Sus scrofa: one gene and its partners. The protein of the gene in region 3 purifies or fractionates together with the protein of the main gene of each other region. This does not show direct contact. Links are inferred from orthologs where the notes say so. Each region holds a gene or a part of one and is shown on either strand. Other genes may lie near its edges.

Region 1 (3,752 bases), on a different chromosome or scaffold from region 3:
GGAAACTGGACTATGAGACTATTTCTCCTCAGAAAGATTCTAAAACTACTTTCAATATAGCTGAAACATTTTTAATTTGCATCAAAATTTCCATTACTATAGTTCCATATTCCAATAAAGGCAAATGAACAATGCTATGAACTGAAAATTAAAAATACATTTGCAGTCATCTGATGTATAAACCAACTTTTGGGACACCACCTATTAAGTTGAGACTACTGCTGCTTATTACATAAAACAAACACTTTACCTTCTAATGGAGTATCTAAAAGGTTGGTATGCTTTGTTTTCACATGAGTTTCCATATCTTGACTACAATCTTCTATTTTTCCACAGAATGGGCATTCAGGAGGACTATACATTGTTTCATAAATTGATCCTTTTATTTTGGTTAGGTCAGACTGTTTTTCCTTACTTTTCAGAAATTTTCTGGATTCAGTTACATTCTCTGAATGAAAGCCTTTATGTTTTAAAGATCCTTCCTTAGGCAGACTTTGAGCTAAAATTTTCGGATGATTAGACGCACAAGCTGAATGAATACTTGAATTAACTTCCATTCTACACTGCAGGGTGCTGTCCGTCCTGTTGTCAGAAGTTCCGTACTGTACTGAATTAATCCTCTCAATGTTTCTTTCTAGCTCATTTTGCTCAAAATGAGCAGTTTCAATATGAAAACACATTTCATCATAACTCACACCTGACAATTTGCAAAATGGACATATAACATCATCTTCCATATGAACAATTAGGTGAGCCTTCATGTCTGGTTCTGAGGTTACTGTTTCACCACAAATATCACAAGAGAGCATGGTAAAGCAGGAAACTGAAAAAGAATACAGTATTATTTTGTTAGAAATTAAGAGACGAAGAAAAAGAAAATACATTCTATAAAGTGATTTGGAGTAACTATATTGGTTACTGAAAACTGGGTTATTTAGATGAAATTACTGTTCCTTGAACACACGAATTTATATCTAAATTTCATCTAAAATTTCAAGTAAAACTTGTGTTTCAAGCTTATGGTTTTAATAAAACAAAGGCAATAATGATGCAAATTAGATAATTTTTCAAAACTTCAAAAGGTGTGTCTGGCCTGAGGTAAAGAAAAAATAACGTTTATAAAACTGCCTGGGTAAGACAAACCAAATAAGAAAACAAAGAAAGAGAAGGAACTTTATCAAATGATATATCTAAATACAAAACTTTAAAGCTATAAACAAGGAATTGAGTAAATAAATCTTAATAACAGCAGTTAAAAGGTAAAGAGCTTTACACATATCAAACTAATTTAAGTACCATTATTACCATTCTACAAGGAGAAAACCCTGGCTCAGGTACCTCACTGCCTCCAGAAAATGGTTAGCCAAAATGCTAACCCAGTCAGGCCCGCTGTATTCTCAACTCAAAGAATAAAATCAGTGTGAGCAGAGTAGATTCCAGAGCCAAGAGAACTGGATTATTATCTCACCTTTCGTAATTTTAGGTAAGATATCTCATCTCTTTGAGGTTCTGCCTATGAGTTATACTAAATCAGCAGTCATTTTGAGGTACTGGCTACCGACAAAAAAGGTGATTTCGCTAAGAAATAATTCTTAGGCAGCAGTTCCCGCTACAACCTTTCCACTACATTATCTTTCAGCTAAAAATTATTTTAAAACAAACGGGAAATAAAAACAAGTAAACTATCCCAATCATTTAAATAAATTTAACTGTGTAAGAACTCCCTACATTGTCCTTATTTTTCTAATTTCACTTCATACAAGTGAAAACAGTCTCGACTTTAGAAGGAAATTCTCTCAAACCCTCAGTGGAAAGAACGTCACACCCAGAAAGGTTCTTTTTTGTGGCTGGGGCACCGCTGGACAGAGAACACGCTTCAATTGCCCAACACTTAGCTCAGAACGAGGGGACGAGAGATGTACGGAGGCCAGAGAGAGGTGCTGGGATGGGTAAGTGGTGAGGAGGTGGGAAGGGCCGGAATGCCACAAAGCCGAACCTGCTCAAAGATCCGTGTCAATCTCCCGGGCCAGGGCCTGAAACCAGCCCAGATACTAAATGGGTCAAAGGGTGGGCCTATGGAACGAGGGCTGGGATGGTCAGTTCCTGGTGGCTCGGAGAGACGGCGGCAGCCACCCTGCCCTGTGCTTAGCTTCCTTTTCGGGTTCTGATGCTGAGGCCGTCTGGGTCCGGGGCAGAAAGGTGCGTGCGCGGCGTCGATTACTTCTCCAGGCCTGAAAGACTGAGGCAGCCCTCTACACCCAGAGACTCACGGATAGCCGAAAAGAGAAGCAGCGATTCCGAACAACTTCAACTCCCAGAAAAATATTCAAAAAAGCTCTTCCTCTCCTTCCCCGAGTGAATGTACTCCCAGGATGCACCGCTCCACGCTAATCTGGGGTTGTAGTGCATTCTGGGAGTCGTAGTCATTCTTGCATCTTCCTGGCAAGGTTGAGATCTTTGTGAATGAATTCCCAGGGCTGGTCCTAGGGCATTACACGAATCCACAATACCCACTATCTAGGGCCTGACTCTGTAACGTTTTATTACATTATCAATAAAGAGTTTGTAATGCTATGTGCCAAATTCCAAACTATGGAGGATGCCTAAGGTATGTTCTTGCTGCAAGACTACAAGCTAACACTATCTTGATCCCTGAATTTAAAAATAAGAAACAGCTCTTGAGATTTAAAAAATACAATAGCAGAATTAAAAAAAAAAATCAGTGGAAATCTGTAAAATAATCCAAAAAAATTTCTCAGAAAATAGAACAAAAGGGAGGTGGGGTGGGAGAGAAAAAGAGCAAGAGATGGTCAACAGGAGCTTCTTCAGAGAAAGAATCATGTGTTATATATCTAATACATGATGTGCCTAGCATTACACGTGGAAAACAATTTGTTTTCAATACTGTTTGTTCGACCCCAGGGTGTATTACAAGGCTTTACGTGTTAAAATAATTTAGAGTACATTATCTGGAGTTACTCATTACATATGTCACAGACTATGTTTTTGTCAAAAAATCCACAGATGTTATAGAATCCAAAAATTTAAACACATGGCTAACTGAAAAGCTTGAAACAAATGAGCAGAGCGCAGTGGTAGAACAAATGAAGCTGAGGAGGCTCTACAAATCTCCATGAGTTTAGGACTTCTATCCGTTGTGTACACCGTTTTACCTTTAATACTAAAACAATGCCTGGCATAGATTAGGCCCTCCATCAATACTGCATTGTAAAATGAACGAATGAATTATTCAATCAACGAACGAATGAATGAATGAAAGAGTGAGAGCGGGCACAGAGGACTGGGACAGTGGGACACTGCTGCCACAGCAACTCCGCGGGGTTAAAATTGCTGAGCACGCGCAGGCGCCGGCTCCTCCTTGGGTGGGTGGGGCTGGGGCGCGCTTCTCTCCGCCCCTCTGCTGGGCTGTGCAGCAGCCACCGCCGCGGCCGCCGCCGCCGCGTGCAAGGGTTTCTGGGAGACGACCCTTGGGGTCTCGGGTAAGGGGCGCAGGTGGCCGCCATCTTGAGTTGGGAGCCTGGTCTCTATACTCATCGCTAGGGGCGGAGTGGTGGACCCACTGATATCGCAGCAGACGCCGAAGCCGAGGACAGGGAAGTTGCGGCGCTGGATAGTGCCACATTAATGAGTAAGTGGGAGTGACACAGACCAGATTGGGTGAGTTTAGGCTTTGGGAGCTATTGGGTCTTGAAGCCACAGCCTTACTTATAGGGTTCAGGACCAGCCCACGC
Region 2 (3,652 bases), on a different chromosome or scaffold from region 3:
TGGTCAGTGGGTTAAGGATCCACTGTATCCATGAGCTGTGGAGTAGGTTGCAGCCGTGGCTTGGATCCCACGTTGCTGTGGCACATAGGCTTGTGGCTGATTTGACTCCTAGCCTGTGAACTTCCATATGCTGCAGGTGCGGCTCTAAAAAAAAACAAAACAAAACAAAACAAAAAAACAGAGCTAGCATACAATCCAGCAATCCTGCTCCTGGGCATATATCTGAAAAAAAAAAACAACCCAAAAGAAATATGCACCCCAATGTTCACAGCAGCATTATTTACAATAGCCAAGACATGGAAGCAACCTAAACGTTCATCAATAGATGAATGGATAAAGAAGATGTGGTACATACATAAAATAGAATATACTCAGCCATAAAAAAGAATGAAATAATGCCATTTGCAGCAACATGGATGAACCTAGAGATTATTACACTAAGTGAAGACAGAAAAAGACAAAAGATCATATGTGGGATCTAAAAGATAGATACAAATGAAGTCATTCACAAAATAGAAACAGAGTCACAGACATGAGAACAAATTTATGGTTATTAAAGGAGAAAGTGAGGGAGGGATAATTAGAGGAGTTTGGGATTATCAGATACAAACTACTGTATACAAAATAGCTAAACAAAGAAGTCCCACTGTATAGCATAGGGAACCATTATATAATAAACCATAATGGAAAAAAAAAAGGAAAAAAAAGAACTTGCTAGAAACTCAGTTGAAAACATGTCTTCTATCCAGCTCCTGATACTATTATCAATTCTGGAGCTTTATTTTTCCATCTGTACCATAATCTACTTACGGGGCAGAGCCTATCAGCAAGAGAACCGGTCTCCTACTCCTCAGAGGAAAACAGAACTGGTGGGCTAAAACCTCGCATTCAGTGCTGACGCCCTCCCACCCCACACACCCTCCCTCGTGAATGTATATGTCAGAGGCTTAGAGTCCCCAGGTTCTGAGCTAGAGGCAGAGGTGAGGTTGGGGAGAGGGCACATACCATAGGCTTCCTCGATGAGGCCGCAGTAGGGATTGACCCCTGAGCCACTGCGCTTGCCCTCTTGCTCTCCAAGCCGAAGGATGTTCTCCAGGCCATTGAGGGCTACTTGTACAATTTTTGAGTCCATTACAGTCAGCAAGTCACACAGGGGTTTGATGCAGCCCAGGGAGACCAGGTACCTGGGGGGCAGGGACCAGGCAAATTCTAAATTAATACAGGGCCAGGGAGGTGCCAGGCAGGTGCTATGCTATGGGGCCTCTGGGTCTCCTCATGCACATCAATACTTTCCGCAACCCATTCCAACTGAGCCTTCAGAACCATCCACTCTTTATCTCAATCTCTTCACTCTCCCAATGCTACTGGCCTAGTTTATTTCCATGTAGAAAGAAACCTGCCATTAATTCTGCCTCCTAGTCTCCTTGTTGCAACATTACCTACTCTGAACACATCACTTGCCTCAAAATTTTCAGTCAGGAGTTCCTGTTGTGGCTCAGTGGTTAACGAACCTGACTAGTTTCCATGAGGACGTGGGTTTGATCCCCAGCCCCGCTCAGTGTATTAAGGATCTGGCATTACCATGAGCTGTGGTATAGGTCACAGACGTGGCTCAGATCCCACGTTATTGTGGCTCTGGCATAGGCCAGCAGCACAGCTCCCATTTGATCCCTAGCCTGGGATCCTCCATATGCCACAGGTACGGCCCTAAAAAGACAAAAGACAAAAGACAAAAAAAAAATAAAATAAAATAAAAAATAAATTTTTATGACAGAACAATTTGGCTCCTAATGGCCTTTTCTAACTCTGCCTCCCTTTATTCACTTCCAAAAGTACGACATTCCAGTCAAACATGTAAAGGTTTCCAGGTTTCTGATTTTTGTACCTTTACTCATGCTTTTTCCTGTCCAAAAGGCCATCTACAACCCCTCCAAAACTTAACTCAATGGCTATCCCTTTACTTCTGAGATTTTACGTATACTGAATATACTCCTCTTCCAGAACTACAAGCTGAAGGCAATGCATTTCCCATTCCCACCATTGCTCCTCAAGCGGATAATGGAAGTCAAAATCAGAGCATTCGCACACAAAATGGCTTTGTATTTGTTCTCCCAAGTATCACTCCCAAAAGATGATTTTTCAAAGAAGATGCTCTGAATGAACTGTAACATGGACCTCCCTCATTTATATGGATAATTGAGAATTACATATATTTAAATTATCTGGAGGATAGAGGCAGAGAAGAGATGGATGTCTGTGTCATAAGTTTCTATTTATGTGTGTGTGTGTGTCTTTTGTCCTTTTAGGGCCACACCCATGGCATATGGATGTTCCTAGGCTAGGGGTCCAATCGGAGCTACAGCTGCCAGCCTACGCCACAGCTCACAGCAACGCTGGTCCCTGAACCCACTGAGCGAGGCCAGGAATCGATTCTGCGACCTCATGGTTCCTAGTTGGATTCGTTTCTGCTGTGCCACGACCGGAACTCTTCTATTTTTTTTTATAGCCACAGCTGTGGCATATAATCTGAGCCACGGCTGCAGCAACACTGGATCATTAGCCTGCTGAGCCACAGTGGGAACTCTGCATCATAAGTTTCTATTTTCCAGGATGGAAAAGAGGTACATGGTTTACAGGAATCTATTTCAGATTCCAGTGCCGCACTCTAGGAGCTTACCAGTTAAACCCTACTGAGTGGGGGCAGACCTGTCCCAGAAAAGGCAGTTTAGAGGTTATATGTAAACCATGAGCCAAGAGGCAGAGTATGCATATCAAGACAATGGCATGGAGTTCCCGTCGTGGCGCAGTGGTTAACGAATCCGACTAGGAACCATGAGGTTGCGGGTTCGGTCCCTGCCCTTGCTCAGTGGGTTAACGATCCGGCGTTGCCCTGAGCTGTGGTGTAGGTTGCAGACAAGGCTCGGATCCCGCGTTGCTGTGGCTCTGGCGTAGGCCGGTGGCTACAGCTCTGATTCAACCCCTAGCCTGGGAACCTCCATATGCAGCGGGAGCGGCCCAAGAAATAGCAACAACAACAACAACAAAAAGACAAAAGACAAAAAAAAAAAAAAAAAAAAAAAAAAGACAATGGCAAAGGAATAGGATACCTGATTTGCTCAGGGGTTCCTCCTGATGTGGCATTGGTGATGGCCCAGGCTGCCTCTTTCCTTGTACGGAACTCTGCTTTTTGAAGGATTTCAATCAACACGGGAAAGATATTTGCATCTATGACAGCCTGAGAGAGAATTGGGGGGTGGAGGGTGGGGCACAGTGGGAGAAAGTCACTTCAAGAAGAATAAAGCAAACCCAGATCACACATTAGCTAAGATTTAGAAATCTTAACCTTCCTCAAAGTTCTCCTTTGTTCTTCTCATACGGGTAAGAGACTACAGAGGAATGTGAACAGACTCTTTGACCAATGGCATGCACTGACCCCAATTTCTAAAAAGAAACAAATTCGTTCTTCTGGAGGGAAATATCCCACAATATTTCATGTTCCCAGGCCTTTCTACCAGCAGCCCCCCAACTTCCCTCCTGCATGTTCTACCTGTATCTGAGCCCTGTTGCCAGCAGTGATATTTGAAATGGTCCAGCAAGCTTCCTTTCGGATTGACTCCTTGGAGCTGCTCAGCAAATGGAGGAGGCAAGGGAG
Region 3 (3,652 bases):
CTGGCATTAAATTCAGACGATTAGTACCTGTGTCTCTGGACCTGCCCAATCTAAGCTTGACCTTTCTGACCTGGAAGAAACAAACACCTCAGTACTCTATTTGTATAGGCTTTTAAAATATAACTATAATAGCACCAAATTACTGCAATAATAATGTAGTGCTATATATTCCACCAATTCTGCATTAAGAATTCTATACTATTCATATTATGATTTTCTGTGATTTCCTATGATCTTTTTTTTTTCTTAGAGTTGTGAACGGACTATAAAGAAGTGCAAAAGTATTTGAAGTAAAAATGGGTGATCCTGGAGGAAAAGCCTTCTTTACAGGCTGCTCTATAATGTTAAAATTCAAGACAGAGAGGTCTCAGCCTTCTAGCCATCAGCCTCCCATATCAACCATTCTGCTTATTACACCTTTGGTCCCATGGAATCTCAGAGGGAAAATAAAAACATTCTTCCATGGTGACAATATTTACTATATGAAATCACTCTCACCAATATAAAAATAAATGACCCTTATAAATTTACCTCACAGGTAAATATTTACAATGTGCAAAATAATGTCCTCAGAGTTTGTTAAATCCAAAGGTACATATTTTCACTTGAAAATTAATTTTACTAAAAGATAAACCATTTTATTTTTATTTCTGCATTTTATGGCTGCACCCACAGCATATGGAAGTTCCAGGCTGGGAGTTGAATCAGAGCTGAAGCTGCCGGCCTGTACTACAACCACAGCAATGCCAGATCTGAGCTACGTCTGCAACCTACACCACAGCTCACAGCAATGCCAGATCCTTAACGCACTAAGTGAGGCCAGGGATTGAACCCACATCCTCATGGATACTAGTCAGGTTCATTACCACTGAGCCACAACAGGAAATCCCAAAAGATAAACCACTTTAAATGACTGCTTACCAAATCAAACCATGATTTCTATATGTTTAAAAAATGTAACTCTTGCCAAAAGTAAGGCAAACAGAGCCAAGAGAAACTTTCGCAGTTAATATTTTGATGGAAAGGATTATAAATTCTTAATCCACCAGAAGATCTATAACCATGATAAAAGCATAGCACTGGATTCTTAACCCACTGAGGGAGGCCAGGGATCGAACCTGCTTCCTCATGGATACTAGTTGGGTTTGTTACTGCTAAGCCACAGTGGGAACTCCTTAACCTCTTTAATGCTGGGAAACCCCATGATTATATTCTTTAATAGGCCCCAAATCACTTCTAAAATATTAGAAGCATAAAACTTTTATGAGATTATCTGTTCCAAAACCTTCACTTTTCAGGATATGCAAGCTGAAAAAGAACTTACCCTAAATTGCTTAGTCAGTAAAACAGTAGGATAAGGCCCTGAATGTTCTAACATGTCTTACTAATTACTTTTTAATATGCTTCAAGTGCTAAAGTAATCTTTTAGAATTATATGCTTTTCTAAAGATTATGATGCCACAGGACTGTAAAAATACTGTGGTTTCCCTATTTCTGAACCGAAGATAAATTTTCTCAAACATATATTAGAAAAAAGATTATTAATTTCTCTAGTCATATTTAGTGTTGGAACAGAGTGGTAATATCTCAGTCTCACTCACCTTTTTCCCATTCCTAGAGTTAGCTGTCTGTACTGGTTCCATTCCCAAACAGTTCAATTCTGCCTTATTATTTTTTTTACATCTCTGCCATTTCTGTTTTCTGCGATCCTCCATATACTGGAATAGAAAAGTTAAAGTTATTCTAAAGAAAAAAAAATATTATCTGGAATAATTATTAAGGTACTAGTGTCTAATTATAGTAAATGCTTATTGTGTAAAGGATTAGTCCTAATGGAAAGCTACCATTAAGCTGACCTCTCAAAAGAAAAAAAAAAATTTTTTTAGGTGATTATATAATAGTTTAATAGTAAATATTTGCCTAGCATTTAGTTGAACAATTACTTTAACATTATTTTGATCTTCACAGCTCTGTGAAGTAGGAAGACTAAGTAAAATTACTCTTATTTTGCCGATGCAGAAACAATGACACAATGTGGCATGCTTTCTCTCTCTCACACAGCTTCAGTACCAAGGGAATGACTTTAAATCTTGCTGGATGGAACTGCCACTCACCGCTAGAAATCGGGGATCGACAGCGAACTCTGGATGACCCTGTAACCACATCTCCAGTTCAGCCCGGCGAGGGGCATCCTCACCCACCAGCAAAGTACCATCCACCTTATTGATGACAGGGATCCGGGTCTCCAGGTCCACATCAAGGTGATTAGGCTCTTCCATGCATTCCACCTCCAGCTGCAAACCCAGAATCCACCCCCATGAGCACATACTCTTCTTTTGGGCAGGGAGAGAGGGGGAGCAGAGCCAATGGTAGCCGTAAAACATTACCTTCTGCTCCCTCAATCCCAAATGCCATCATCAATTACTGGGAATAAAAACATTTTCTCTAATCATCATGTTAAAGACTTTCTCTACCACTTACCTCAACTAGCTTCTTTCTGTTCCCTTTCTTCTTATGAAAAAGAGGATGTCCATCTCCCATTACTCCATTAGCCATCAACTTGTGCTTCTGGAATGTTAACTTCAATCCTTCCTCCTAGGAAGACAATCCACCCACCCAAGACATCATATAGCAGTTCAATGACAGTGAGAAGGGAGGGCATCTGACTAATGGATAGAAATCAGAAATATAACAAAATTTATATGTTGTTTCCTTAGAAAAACATTTATTTCATTTCTTGATCTAGTGCCCCTCAGGCAGATTTAAGAGGAGTAGAATTTATTTCAACAACACCCAATGCAGGGGAAAAAAATCCCCTACCTGGTGTCTCAGTATTAGCATGGCAACTCATCACAGGGCAGAATCTTGATATTCCTGTCACATACTAATGTCAAAAATTTTTCTTGGAGTTCCTGTCGTGGCTCAGTGGGTAACAAATCGGACTAGGAACCATGAGGTGACGGGTTTGATCCCTGGCCTTGCTCAGTGGGTTAAGGATCCGGCGTTGCCCTGAGCTGTGGTGTAGGTTGCAGATGCAGCTCAGATCCCATGTTGCTGTGGCTCTGGTGTAGGCCAGCAGCTACAGCTCAGATTAGACCCCTAGCCTGGGAATCTCCACGTGCTGCAGGGGCAGCCATAGAAAAAGACAAAAAAAAAAAAAAAAAAATTTCTTGTTGAGTACTTAATGACCAGCTAATAGAGTTCATTAGGGAAGAACACCAGGAAGAATGACTTTTTTTTTTTTTTTTTTTTGCTTTTTAGAGTCACAGGTGCAGCATATGGCCTTAACAAGGCACATAATACTTGGGTGTCATTTTACTAGCTTTTCTACAATGTGATTTCAATTTTGAAACACTGGTTTCATGGATCTAGAAACAAGCCACTCAAAAGAAACCTATGTCAATTAAATTTCTTTTAAAAATATGGTTTCTTTTAATCTAATCCTCAGAAGATATAAGTCAAGATAAGATCCCTTCCTTTACTACAATGACTTTTCCTAAATGGATCTTTGTGAGCTCTTCTCATTTTTAAGGTTAGGGGACCAAACAAACTTAGTATCACATTCGTAAAACTAGTCAGTAAGAATTCCAGCCTCCTTCCTCACTTTCCAATGTCTAAGCACTCAGCTTACATCTTTGATCTGAACCGTAAA

What was found.
Region 1: the proteins of CHD8 (region 3) and KPNA5 purify together in Homo sapiens (affinity purification with mass spectrometry; 3 studies listed by BioGRID and IntAct, with this or other methods). This does not show direct contact. The link is inferred for Sus scrofa from reciprocal best matches to the Homo sapiens genes CHD8 and KPNA5.
Region 2: the proteins of CHD8 (region 3) and KPNA6 purify together in Homo sapiens (affinity purification with mass spectrometry; 4 studies listed by BioGRID and IntAct, with this or other methods). This does not show direct contact. The link is inferred for Sus scrofa from reciprocal best matches to the Homo sapiens genes CHD8 and KPNA6.

Annotation. Positions count from the first base shown.
Region 1 is NC_010443.5:44,938,567-44,942,318, reverse strand, and holds the start of KPNA5 (importin subunit alpha-6), read left to right. Parts: upstream 1-1,099; 5' UTR 1,100-1,945; coding exon 1,946-1,949; intron 1,950-1,996; exon of another isoform or gene 1,997-2,405; intron 2,406-3,371; exon of another isoform or gene 3,372-3,645; coding exon of another isoform or gene 3,646-3,649; exon of another isoform or gene 3,650-3,678; intron 3,679-3,752. Other genes in the region: ZUFSP (zinc finger with UFM1-specific peptidase domain protein), read right to left, coding at 251-809. UniProt on the Homo sapiens protein: Functions in nuclear protein import as an adapter protein for nuclear receptor KPNB1. Binds specifically and directly to substrates containing either a simple or bipartite NLS motif.
Region 2 is NC_010448.4:88,645,566-88,649,217, reverse strand, and holds part of KPNA6 (importin subunit alpha-7), read right to left. Parts: coding exon 3,548-3,652; intron 3,236-3,547; coding exon 3,108-3,235; intron 1,185-3,107; coding exon 1,006-1,184; intron 1-1,005. UniProt on the Homo sapiens protein: Functions in nuclear protein import as an adapter protein for nuclear receptor KPNB1. Binds specifically and directly to substrates containing either a simple or bipartite NLS motif.
Region 3 is NC_010449.5:77,774,828-77,778,479, reverse strand, and holds part of CHD8 (chromodomain-helicase-DNA-binding protein 8), read right to left. Parts: coding exon 3,632-3,652; intron 2,596-3,631; coding exon 2,482-2,595; intron 2,450-2,481; exon of another isoform or gene 2,295-2,449; coding exon 2,115-2,294; coding exon of another isoform or gene 2,062-2,114; intron 1,719-2,061; coding exon 1,602-1,718; intron 1-1,601. Other genes in the region: uncharacterized protein LOC106504487, read left to right, coding at 2,062-2,151. UniProt on the Homo sapiens protein: ATP-dependent chromatin-remodeling factor, it slides nucleosomes along DNA; nucleosome sliding requires ATP. Acts as a transcription repressor by remodeling chromatin structure and recruiting histone H1 to target genes.